2 linked regions of the Caenorhabditis elegans genome follow. The protein of the gene in region 1 interacts with the protein of each later gene in a pairwise test. Each region holds a gene or a part of one and is shown on either strand. Other genes may lie near its edges.

What was found.
Region 2: the proteins of mog-1 (region 1) and mog-3 interact in a two-hybrid assay, tested with the Caenorhabditis elegans proteins (one study listed by BioGRID).

The regions. Positions count from the first base shown.
Region 1 is NC_003281.10:9,951,520-9,958,117, forward strand, and holds mog-1 (putative pre-mRNA-splicing factor ATP-dependent RNA helicase mog-1), read right to left. Parts: upstream 4,697-6,598; 5' UTR 4,694-4,696; coding exon 4,578-4,693; intron 4,521-4,577; coding exon 4,407-4,520; intron 4,364-4,406; coding exon 3,055-4,363; intron 2,981-3,054; coding exon 2,153-2,980; intron 1,983-2,152; coding exon 1,441-1,982; intron 1,384-1,440; coding exon 1,212-1,383; intron 984-1,211; coding exon 669-983; 3' UTR 541-668; downstream 1-540. Other genes in the region: K03H1.11 (F-box domain-containing protein), read right to left, coding at 1-60, 174-444; alx-1 (Apoptosis-linked gene 2-interacting protein X 1), read left to right, coding at 5,839-6,053, 6,104-6,598. UniProt on the Caenorhabditis elegans protein: Probable ATP-binding RNA helicase involved in pre-mRNA splicing.
Region 2 is NC_003281.10:5,306,906-5,311,650, reverse strand, and holds mog-3 (Pre-mRNA-splicing factor CWC25 homolog), read right to left. Parts: upstream 3,050-4,745; coding exon 2,886-3,049; intron 2,826-2,885; coding exon 2,412-2,825; intron 2,367-2,411; coding exon 2,301-2,366; intron 2,252-2,300; coding exon 2,156-2,251; intron 2,111-2,155; coding exon 1,894-2,110; intron 1,190-1,893; coding exon 906-1,189; intron 689-905; coding exon 574-688; 3' UTR 515-573; downstream 1-514. Other genes in the region: Putative RNA exonuclease pqe-1, read right to left, coding at 322-391.

The sequences.
Region 1 (6,598 bases):
GCTGTTCATCAGAAATCTCGTCGCCGACTAATTCATTTTCCAATTGAAGGGAATGAATTTCTGAAAATCAAATTGGCAATTATACTCGAGAATTGAATGATTTTTTTTTAATGTTTCAATTTGTATCCAAACAGTTAGATAAAAGTAAAATAGACGAATAAGAAAATAAATACCGTTAACTATTTGTGGCATTAGAAAATGTAAAAGTTCTTGAATTTCTTCTCGATTTACTTTTGGAATATGAAGCTCAAATTCGTCTCCATCACATTTTCCATTCAATTTCTCACTTGTGATTCCAATCTTTATAGCACGGATTTTTGGAATCATATCTACGATAACTCTCATCACATCGATATTACTTAAAGCTGAATTAACAAGATCCGTAGGTTTTAACCCTTTATGGATTTCTCGGATGATTTCCAATGGCATATCACCGAGAATCATTCTGAAAATTTTGTTCTGAGTTTTTTTTGTTGTTGAAAAACATACAGTAAAAAAGGAAATGTACCGAAAGTGGGAAAAATTGAAAAAGGTAAAAATAAATATAAGGTTTATGGAATAAACTTCTGAAAATAAAATTGCAACAGAGTATATAGAAAATCGAACTGGAGTATTAACAGTGACACCCGATTACACGAGAAAATAAGACAGAGAAAGAGAGTAATTGATCAAAGACCCCACAGCTTTCTTCTCTCCGATCTGGCCGATTTCGATCCGACTTCAACAACACGCCTGGAAGATTCTGGTCGTTTGAACGCCTTGTCACTTTCTTCCTTCCGCCGTTCCATTTCTTTCTGCGCCTCTCGCATCTCTGCTTCCATCGTTTCAACCGTTCGGACACTCTCCATTTTCAGTTCTTTGCGTGATTGTTTCGATTCTTTGATCGAATAGAACATGGGTCCAAGTTCAGCAAGCCAGATTGCATCGACAGCAGTTACACATTGCATATATTCTTTGGCTGTCATAATCAATTCGTGGTACACCTTAATTTAGAATATTAATTTAAAGTTTAAAGGAATGTGTTTTTGGCGAATAATTTATTTTCCGCTTCTTTTTTTCGAAAAAGAGGATATACTGAAACATTCATAAATTTTTAAGTGTTACTTTTTTTCCAAAAATCATATTCAAAATTTAAAATAGAGTGCAATTTGGCCGAAATATTTGAAATACCGATTCAGCATTTTTTTTTCTTCAGATTCAGCCCTGCTTACCACGTAATCAGGCATGAAACCCATTCCAAAAAGAGCTGAAGTTGGATGAAGGAAGCATGGAATTCCGGTACGAACATTGACATATTCACCAATTCCTTTAAGACGAGCTGCATTGTGGAAATACGCAGAGCAAATGCATTTTCTCACAATATCCCATTCACTTCCGTTTGAGCTGAAATAATTTTATAAAATTGTAGTTCTAAGAAACTTTCAAATAAAAAAAACCTACATCAATGGAAGCTTGAGATCTTGCATAATTTCCTTCAATTGAGCACGAACTTCTCGAACCTTTTTCAAAGCTTTTACGTGTAAATAGTTGTCGGCACACCATTTTGCAGAATATTTGTGTGTTCTCCATTGAATATAGACGTTTAAGAAAGTGAGATGATCCGATTCGGGAACTTGGAACTTTTCTTTCTTGGCATCAGCTTCTTCTTCTCGTCCTTTTGGTCTGAAGAAAATTGCGGGCACTGACAACATCGAAACAATCGTCAGAACTTCATCACTGCATCCCATTTCAGCCGACATAATGAGCATTTTCGACAGAGTTGGATCTAGTGGGAATTCAACCATTTTTCGTCCCATTGGCGTGAGCTGTCCAGTGTTATCGAGAGCTCCAAGAGTCCAAAGTTGATACATTGAATTCAGCATATTGTCCTGTGGAGGTGCATCCATGAAGTGAAATTTCAAAAGATCATCCACTCCGAGAGACTTTAAAAGAAGCACTACATTGGCGAGATTGGTTCTTTGAATTTCAGGTACAGTACTCTTCTGAAAAATAAATTTGTTTTTATTTGAAACAGGGCTGAGCATATATATATATTTTTTAATATATATTTTTAAAAAATAAAATTAAAAATTTGTCGTTTTCGATATTTTTCCCATGAAATTTTTAGCATTCGTCGCTCACTCCAGATTTGTGAGATTCACCTCAAACTTACCAAAAGCTCATCTTTAAATTGTCTTTCAGTATACAAACGATAACACTGTCCTGGTCCAGTACGTCCGGCACGACCAGTTCGTTGATTCGCTGATGCTTGTGACACTGGGAAGATCGATAGAGCATCCATACCGATTCTTGGATTGTACACCTTCATCTTACAGAAACCCGGATCAATTACAAATAGAATTCCGTCGACAGTGAGCGATGTCTCTGCAATATTTGTAGCCACAATTGCTTTCCGCATTCCACCGGGTGCTCTTTGGAAAATCTTGGCTTGTAAGTCACTTGGAAGCTGGGAATAGATTGGTAGAACAGCAAGTGGAGGAGCTTCATCAAGTTCACCAAGCTTCTCTTTGATCATTTCACAAGTGCACTCAATATCTTCTTGTCCTGGCATGAAAATCAAAATATCTCCGTCCATACCACCCAGATGAATTGTAACAGCTTGTTTAACAGCAGCATCCACATAATCTTCAACAGGAGTTCTCGCATGAAACAGTTCGACTGGGAATGTTCTTCCAGGAATTGTAAAAGTGGGACAGTTTCCTCCGAAAAAGTCTGCAAACTTATCAGCATCCATAGTAGCAGAAGTAACGATTAGCTTCAGATCAGCTCGTTTTGCAATCACTTCTCTGAGCAAACCAAAGAGTACATCTGTATTGAGTGAACGTTCGTGAGCTTCGTCCATAATAATTGCTGAATATTGATCAAGACTTCCATCACCAAGACATTCACGAAGCAGAATACCATCTGTCATGTACTTGATTATTGTTTTTTCTGATGTACAATCTTCGAATCGAATCGCGTAACCAACGTCTTGTCCTAGCTGTAAAAATTAAAATAAAATTGTTTTCTTAAAACAGTGGTGAAATACATAATTATCTCAAAAATGAAACTAACATCCACTCCCATTTCATCAGCTACACGTCTAGCAACACTCATTGCAGCGACACGTCTCGGCTGAGTACATCCGATGAGTCCCGAATCACCAAATCCATCTTCAAGTAGGTATTGTGCCAACTGAGTTGTTTTTCCTGATCCTGTTTCTCCGACGATGATAACCACATTATTCTCACGAATCACATTCATCATCTTCTGCCGACACGCAAATACAGGCAAATACTCTCTTTGCTGCTTGATAGACTTTTCCATCGCAAAATCCGAAACTGCTTCATTATCTTTCATGTGAGATGCAAATTGATGAGATTCTTTGTAATTTCCAGAATCATCGTCTTCTGGATCAGCAGTTTCATCTTTTTTCTCTTTAACACCCATCAAATTTCCGAGTTTTGATCCTGCCAACTCCCAATGCTTATCTTGAGCCTTCTTCCTATCTTCAACTTCTCTCCGTTTTCGTACTGCAACACTTCCTCTTGCTGCTGAAACAGCCATATCACATGTTGTATCAACAACCGGAATGATTGGTTGTGCTTGTTTAGTGAAAACAATTCGACCATCAAGGAATGGAGGAACAATGTTTTGAACGAGAATTGTGACACGATTCTCATCAGTTTCATCTTCAAAAATACTTGATAATTCATCAGCCATCGCGACGACTCCTGATCTATGCAGTCGATTGTTCTCCCATAACTCATTCTCTCTTTTGATCGCCTGCTGCTTCACTGTAAGTCTCGGCTTCTGAGTTTTCTCCTGCCATTGCTTTTCTCGTTTTTCCACAAATTCGTCAGAAACCTTATTGAATGGATTATACTCATCATCAAATGCTCCTTCATTATCATACCATTCTCTGTCCAAATTCTTCTGTTCCTCTTCCCATTGAGCTCTCTCTTCGTCATCATGAAATGTGGGCTCTGCTTTTTCTTCTTTAACACTTCGTACCGAATCTTCTGGTTTTCGATGTCTCCGTCTCTTCTCATCATCTCTATTCCTTCTTTCACTTCTCCATGCACTTGAAATGCTTCGTTCCGAATCCATATATCGTTTTCTGTCTCTTTCACCCCGCGGAGTCGGCATATCCCAACTATTTCGTTTTCTGGAAGATCCTTCACGATCATCTTGATCCCAGCTCATTCTGGATGGTGTATCGGGAACTTTAAAGCGAGGAGTCTGATCTCCACTTCGATCTTTCCAACCTCTTCTACTACTCGGCTCTCTTCGTTCTGATCTGTCACGGTCTCGTCTGCGATCATCATCCCGACTTTTGTATTTCATTCCACGGTCGTCACGATCTCGATGCTTCTCATGAACTCTGAAATCATCAATTTACTTCGCTAATTTAATGTTTGAATCACTTTTCAATTCCTTTTCGAACCGATTCCGTGACACCTCGATCGTCATCATCCTCAAGACGTTTTCTGGCGTGTTCCCGCTTTGTAGACGCCAATCTATCGAGCCCAAGCAAGCTTCTGCAATTTAAATTGTTTTTATTTGAAGAAAATTAAAGTATATATTTAGTTACTCACTTCCCGGATGGTTCGGTTGGTTTTGAATCTCCCTCTACTTTTTTCTTTTTAATAACCAATCCACCAAATGTGTCACTGGTTCCTTCGAGGCGGCCATCTGCCCGTTTATCCGACATTTACTAAAAAATAAAGAATTTAAGAAAAACTAATTTAATTTCGAAAAGGAAATCGAAAATAAATAAAAAATAAATAAAAAATGAGAGAGCGAGAGAGAACGCATTATGAAAAGAGACTCAGACTTTTGTGTCTCGATAGAGCGCTCTTTCATAAAAACATTTTTCGCGAATTTTTTGTTTTTTCTTCAATTTTCTCAACACTCTTTCTCTCTTGTTGCATCTTTTTCTTTTCTTTTCTCTCATTAAAGGTTTCCCGGAGGTCTCTTCAAACAAAAAATAGCCTATAAATCAGTAGAAAATCACAATCTACTTCAATGCCACCAGTTTTCACTATTGAATCCGAATTTTTGATGTTCTTCAAATTTCCCTCTGTATCATCAACCACCGATACCCACTTAAACGGTTCAATTTCTATAGATTTGTTTGTTAACTCAAGCGCTTGAGAACCCCGGAAGCAACAGATCGGAGAGCTGAAGTGTTGAAAGTTGTTTCGAGAGAGTGGATTGCTTAGGCCCTAGCTTAAAATAAACTCAATATATTTAGAATTCAAATTGTTATTTCATATCAAATCATACGTTTACTAATTTTGAAATCTATTGATTTTCTTTTTTTCTCACCTCAATTCTATTTGCAACCCGAATTGCGAAATCGAGAGGGGCGGTCACCATGCCGGCAGCATCGATGACTCATCACTCGTATCACGAACGTTATTTGCATTCTAATGTCTGAAATGACGTTTTTCCCTTCTTGTTGAATGATTAGGAGTGTGAATCGATGTGATGAACTTACTTTCTATTACATTTTTCTTGTCCTTCATTAACGAGAAGCTTCGTATTTTCCTATTGCTCACCTCAAATTAAGGATGGAGTGAATTGGCTGGGGATTTTGCGTTAAATTATAGAAAATTGACCCTGCTAACTGAATATAACTGTAAAAATTAAACTTTTACTAAAACTAAACTTTATTTTTGAATTCTCGTAACATCTTCGTGTTTTTTTTGCTAAATTCATTGGTTTTCTTGATTAATGTTTCACATTTTAATTGAAACACAGTTTGTCAAAATTTCAGAAAAATTCTTTAAAGAGAATCTTTCTATTTTATTTTTTTTATTTCTCACTTCAAATTAGTATTAATTTTCTTTCAGAATGGCTACATTCGGCTTTCTCAGCGCACCGCTGAAATCGACTAATGAAGTGGATCTTGTGAAGCCACTTACAAGCTATATCGACAATGTCTACAATACATCCGATAATAACCGCTCAGATGTCGCCGAAGCTGTTCAGGAACTTAATAAACTCCGTTCAAAAGCTTGCTGTCAGCCTCTCGACAAGCATCAAAGTGCTCTCGATGTTTTGACTAGGTAATAAATTTAAAAAAAAAGAATATCTTTGAAATAATTGTTTTTTACAGATATTATGATCAACTCGTTGCCATTGAAAACAAAATTATAATCTCTGCAACTCAAAATCCAGTTGTTTTCAAATGGAAGGATGCATTCGACAAAGGAAGCCTCTTCTCAAGCAGAGCATCCTTATCCCTGTCTGACGGATCCTTTGAACGTGCTGCCGTTCTGTTCAATATCGGATCGTTGATGTCTCAAATCGGAGCTGCTCAACAATTCCATACCGATGATGAAATTAAAGTATCTGCAAAACTATTCCAACAATCTGCTGGAGTATTCGCCCGTCTTCGTGATGTTGTTCTCGGAATGGTTCAACAGGAACCAACTCCTGATCTCATGCCAGATACACTTGCTGCTCTTTCTGCATTAATGACTGCTCAGGCACAAGAGGCGATCTATATTAAAGGCCACAAGGATAAGATGAAGGCTACATCAATGGTCAAAATATCTGCTCAAGTTGCCGAATTTTACTCGGAAGCACAAAAAATGATGTCTAAGGATAT
Region 2 (4,745 bases), 4.6 Mb from region 1:
AGAAAAAAATCAAAATTTGATTCGGTCACAGATTAGAAAGATTTTTCGGGATTTCAAAGTGAAAAATGTAACCGATTTCGAAACAAACATTTTCTGAAGAAAATCATACGAATATTAGATTTTTTCCGAATTCCAAAGCGAAAATCATTCTTAAAATTAATTTTAAAAATATTTTCAGCAAAAAATCAAGCAGAAAATTTAGGAAAAGAGTACCAGAACAGATTTTTCAACAATTTCAAACGAATAGAAATATTATAAAAACCGTTGAAAAATAACAAAAACAAAGGCATATTTCAGAAAAAGGTGGAAAGTTGAACTCACTCATCGGATCGATTGGTGCATAGTTTTGAAGATTAAAGCTGTTTCCAGATCCATAGCCGCCATTAAACATGGCTGAGATACTTGCTGGAATGATTATTAAGAGAATAAAAATAAAATAAAGCAATAAAAAGATAATAATCTCGGTTTGCGACCGGAATTCCATAATAAAAAAAGAGAAAGTGAGGGAAAGAACAAGAAAATCAATATTTTATAATCAACAAAACATGGGAGTTTAAAAATAACAATTTTTGCTCATTTCTTCGCAAAACTCCGATCCATATACCCGTGTGCTCGTTGAACACCGCGTTTATTACTTTGTAGACGCTTCTCCACTGTCATATCGTCACAGGCTTCGCGCATTTGAGATCTGTAATTAAAAAATACATTTTACAGGAAATTTCACAGTTTTTGTATTAAAAGCTTGTTCCAAGTGAAAACCAGCGTGATCACTGATAAAAATGCATGGGGAATAGGGAATTTCTAGCTTTTGGGGAATAAATAAAGACGGAAATGATGCAAAACCATGCATTTCAGCCAGAACTTTAATAACTGCATACTTTTCTTCTCTGCCGTTCGATACAAACCTAATAAAAGATGGAGCATATCCATTTTTATCCGCCTCTTCCTTCTCCTCATCATCCTCTTTCCGTCCTTTTGTGACATTTCTCTCGCGAATCTCGTCCCTCCATTTCACGTTGTCCTGCTGCATTTCGGCGAGCCGAGCCGCCTTCTCTGCTTCACTCAATGCTCGTCGCGGCTCTCTTGGCGTATTGCCGGTACCACGTCCTGTGGGAATCTTGACAAGCTTGTACTCCTTGGTGGGCGCCCGTGACTCTTCTTCACGTTCCTCGGCTGTTCGCTTTCGCATCTGGAAATAAACAAATTTAATTGAAAAATATTCGTTTTTCTTTAACTTTTAGCATTTTTTCGCAAAAAATAACTTGGAAATGGTTTGAAACTTAAATAACGTTCTTGTTCAAAACTGAGAAAATATAAGAAATTCAATTTTGGAGTCAAAAAATCAATAGTTTCCTTTCATCTATAGAATTGAAAGCATAGAAAATCCAAGAAATCATGGGGAAAACACGGAGGATTCTCATTTTAAGCTTTTCGATCAAAAACCGAATTTCGTGACATTTCCACTTCAGAAAACGGAGCAAAAAATAAAATCAGTGAATTTGTTGACCAATTTCAATGAGAATACAGATTTTCGAAGTAAATATGTCATTTCCAGATGATTTCTTTTTTCACGTGTAAATAGCTTGAGAATGACGGAAAATGGGCAAAATGAAAGTAAATTGTGTTAGAAATGAGCAAACATAGGTGTTAAAATAAGAAAATCACTTCAAAATCAGAAAATTCCTGTAACTCCTCGTGAAAATGTGACAAAAAAATAAAATTGGGATGAAAACTGTTGAAAAAGGATCAGCATTACTGAAATTATTGTTAATCCTCGAATTGTTCGAGGAAAAAATCTGAAAAAGCATGCAAAATTCACTTTTTGACGGAAAATCTAATATGCTAGTTCACTAAAAATTCCTGTAAGAAAAATGTTTAGAACAGCGAATTCACCTCAACCAAGCCATATGACTTCTTTCTCGGATCCTGTCGCTCGTCATCATCACTATTCCGGCGGCGGTGACTGCTCCGAGTTTCGTGCTCAGATTCTGAGCCTGAGCTCGAATCATGACGACTTCGTTGCTGCTGCAGGTGACGTGGAATGTGAGAATCAAACTGTCTTGAAGAGCTCGCTTTGTCGGCAGATCTGGAGCGGGATCTGGACATTTTTCTGAAAAACAAACGAAGTTTTAGACTAACTACCGGCGATTTCTACCTTGGTTCCTCTCTGGATCGCCTCGGAGACCTGGATTTCCGGCGGAGTCGCTCTGCGGATCTTGATCGAGATCTGGATGGCTTTCTGGCAACTTTTCTGGAAAAAAATCATCTTCTATGAGAAAAAAAACTCGACAAATGCGTACCTGGGATCCTCTCGGGATCGTCTTGGAGATTTCGATCGAGAACTGGAAGGTTTCCGGGACAATTTTCTGAAATATTTGTGATAAATTGATATCAAAATTGTCAATTTTTACCTGGACTCTTCACGGGATCGCTTTGGAGATCTTGGTCTTTCTCTTCTGGGCGATCTAGAACGCTTTCTGGGCTTCTCGCTGGGTCTTCTTCTTCGTTTCGGCGATGGCGAGCGTCTTCTTTTTCTTTCTACCCGTTCATCACTGCTTTCATCACTGGAACTCGACGATCGCTTCTTTTTTTTCTTCTTTTTGTCTTTTTTACTCTTTTTCTCTTTACTTTTCTCTGCTTTTGAGGTCATCATACTTTTCAGCGCGGCTTGAAGTCGCATTTTTGTGAGAGGATTATCCATGATTTCCCGACGTTTTGTTTCTTCTCGAACCTTGACGGCGACAAATGGATCTTCGGATTTGATAATATCTTTCTGAAGTGAAGAAGTTTTTAAACCCGTTGATTGTCCGGAATTGAAGACAGCCCTGAAAACTAAAAATTGATTTTTTGTTGCTAATAATCAATTTCCTAATGTTTTAACTCACCTTGTCCCAACAATCGAATCGATTGCTTCTGCTTTCTGCGCATTCACCACATCGGAATACTTTTCAAAGTTCTTGTCAACTTTCTTTCCGAGTAAATAGTCTTCTCGGTGTACATTTCCTTTAGCGCCTTCATACATCCACCCGATTGATACATCTTTGCTCATCTGAACAAAAATCGATTAATGAACGATTTTAAACGAAAAATGTAAAAATCGCGAAGAAAAACCATCAAAAACCACGAGTTTACACTTCAAAACGCGTTGCGCAACCGGTTGCTAAGGAAAAATCAATATAGGTCAAAACTCGGCCATGGCCTCCCGGCCACCGGTGGTTCTAGGCCATTGTTGGTGAAATGCGCGGTATTTCAAATGGAGAAGGGGAGATTTAATACAATTCACAGTTTTTTTTGCTTTTCAATGATTGGAAAGAAAAATTAATTTTAAAAGAGTGTTTTTCGAATTTGGTGTTAAGGAGCAGCAAATTCCATCGCTCTCATACTAATATATAAACCAAAAAACATTGAAAATAGCCAAATTAACTCAGTTTTTATTTGGTTTTTTCCAATTTTATAAAATTTTACAAATATGGAACAAATTTTCTAGATGTTTGGCACTAAAATTGGCTGAAATGTGTTGCTGGGAACTGAAAGTTAGTTTACCAAGTAAGTTGGTTAAACTAAATCAATAAGTAAGAACTTCTATAACTTCTCGGTTATTGAAGATGAATTACAGTCTAACCTTTTCAGAATAAAACTAGAGAAAATTGGCAACTAACATAATTAACGACATATTATGAAAAAGTTAGTTTCCGTTTATTTCCTAATCTCCGTATTTCCGTGCGTTATATATAACAGCTGACCTTTTCCAGGTCACCAAAGACAACTGTTTCATTGCGTAGTTCATTGTTGTAACTTTATCGTAAACGAAGATACGAAAAAAAAGTTTACAGCGAACAAATTCATTTCCTATGAATTTTTCTAACCGTAACGAAAAAGGAAAAGCTGTTCAATTGTGGTTTCGATCTGTGTAACTTTTTTCGAAATTAAAAATAGAAATGTGCAAACTAACAAATTCAAGGCAAATCTGAGGCACAATACCCAAACTAACGGAGCCAACAATTGCCGGGGAGATTTTGAAAGGGAGGGAGAGGAATATGTGATGTTAAAAGACACCAGAAAAGACCTAATTTCGATCGTCCGACTTGTTAAAAAAAGAGGAATGCCCAGGAACAGGTGTGAGATTCGCTACACTTTGTCAGTTGACAATTTTTCCTAGCATCGCTTTGAAAATGTTAAGGCATCAGACACATGAATTACTCTAGTGTATGCATTTTGCAAACTACCGTAATTTCGGACACATCACGGTGAGCTGGAATAAAATAAATAGATACCCGGTATGAGGAAAGAAGGATGAACTAAATCTGTCCAAGACGCTGTGATTTTATACAAAACTTTGTGAGAGGCGGAGCAAAACCGAATGTCGTCGAAATATCAACAAAAAAAAGTGGGCGGATCAATGAGCTGTCACATGTTTTGATTTTCTGTCTTCGTCTTTTTGTTCTTAGGATGTTTCGTATTTTTGTGTTAAAGATCTGGCGGAAGGAAACATGATTTTTTGTCTTCATTGCATTAACATATGAGTGGAGAAAAATGAAAAGGCTATTTATATTATTATGAAAAAGCAAAGGAACATAAATAGAAAACGTATCCCTATTCTACAGAAAAATTTGATAATTTACTTTGAATTTTTCGTTTCCCACTAACTTAAACCTACATAACAAGATAAGCTTCATCAAATCCCCATTACCCCCAATATGTCCAATCAGAAGATATTTAAATCCAGCCGGATACCATCTCGCTTG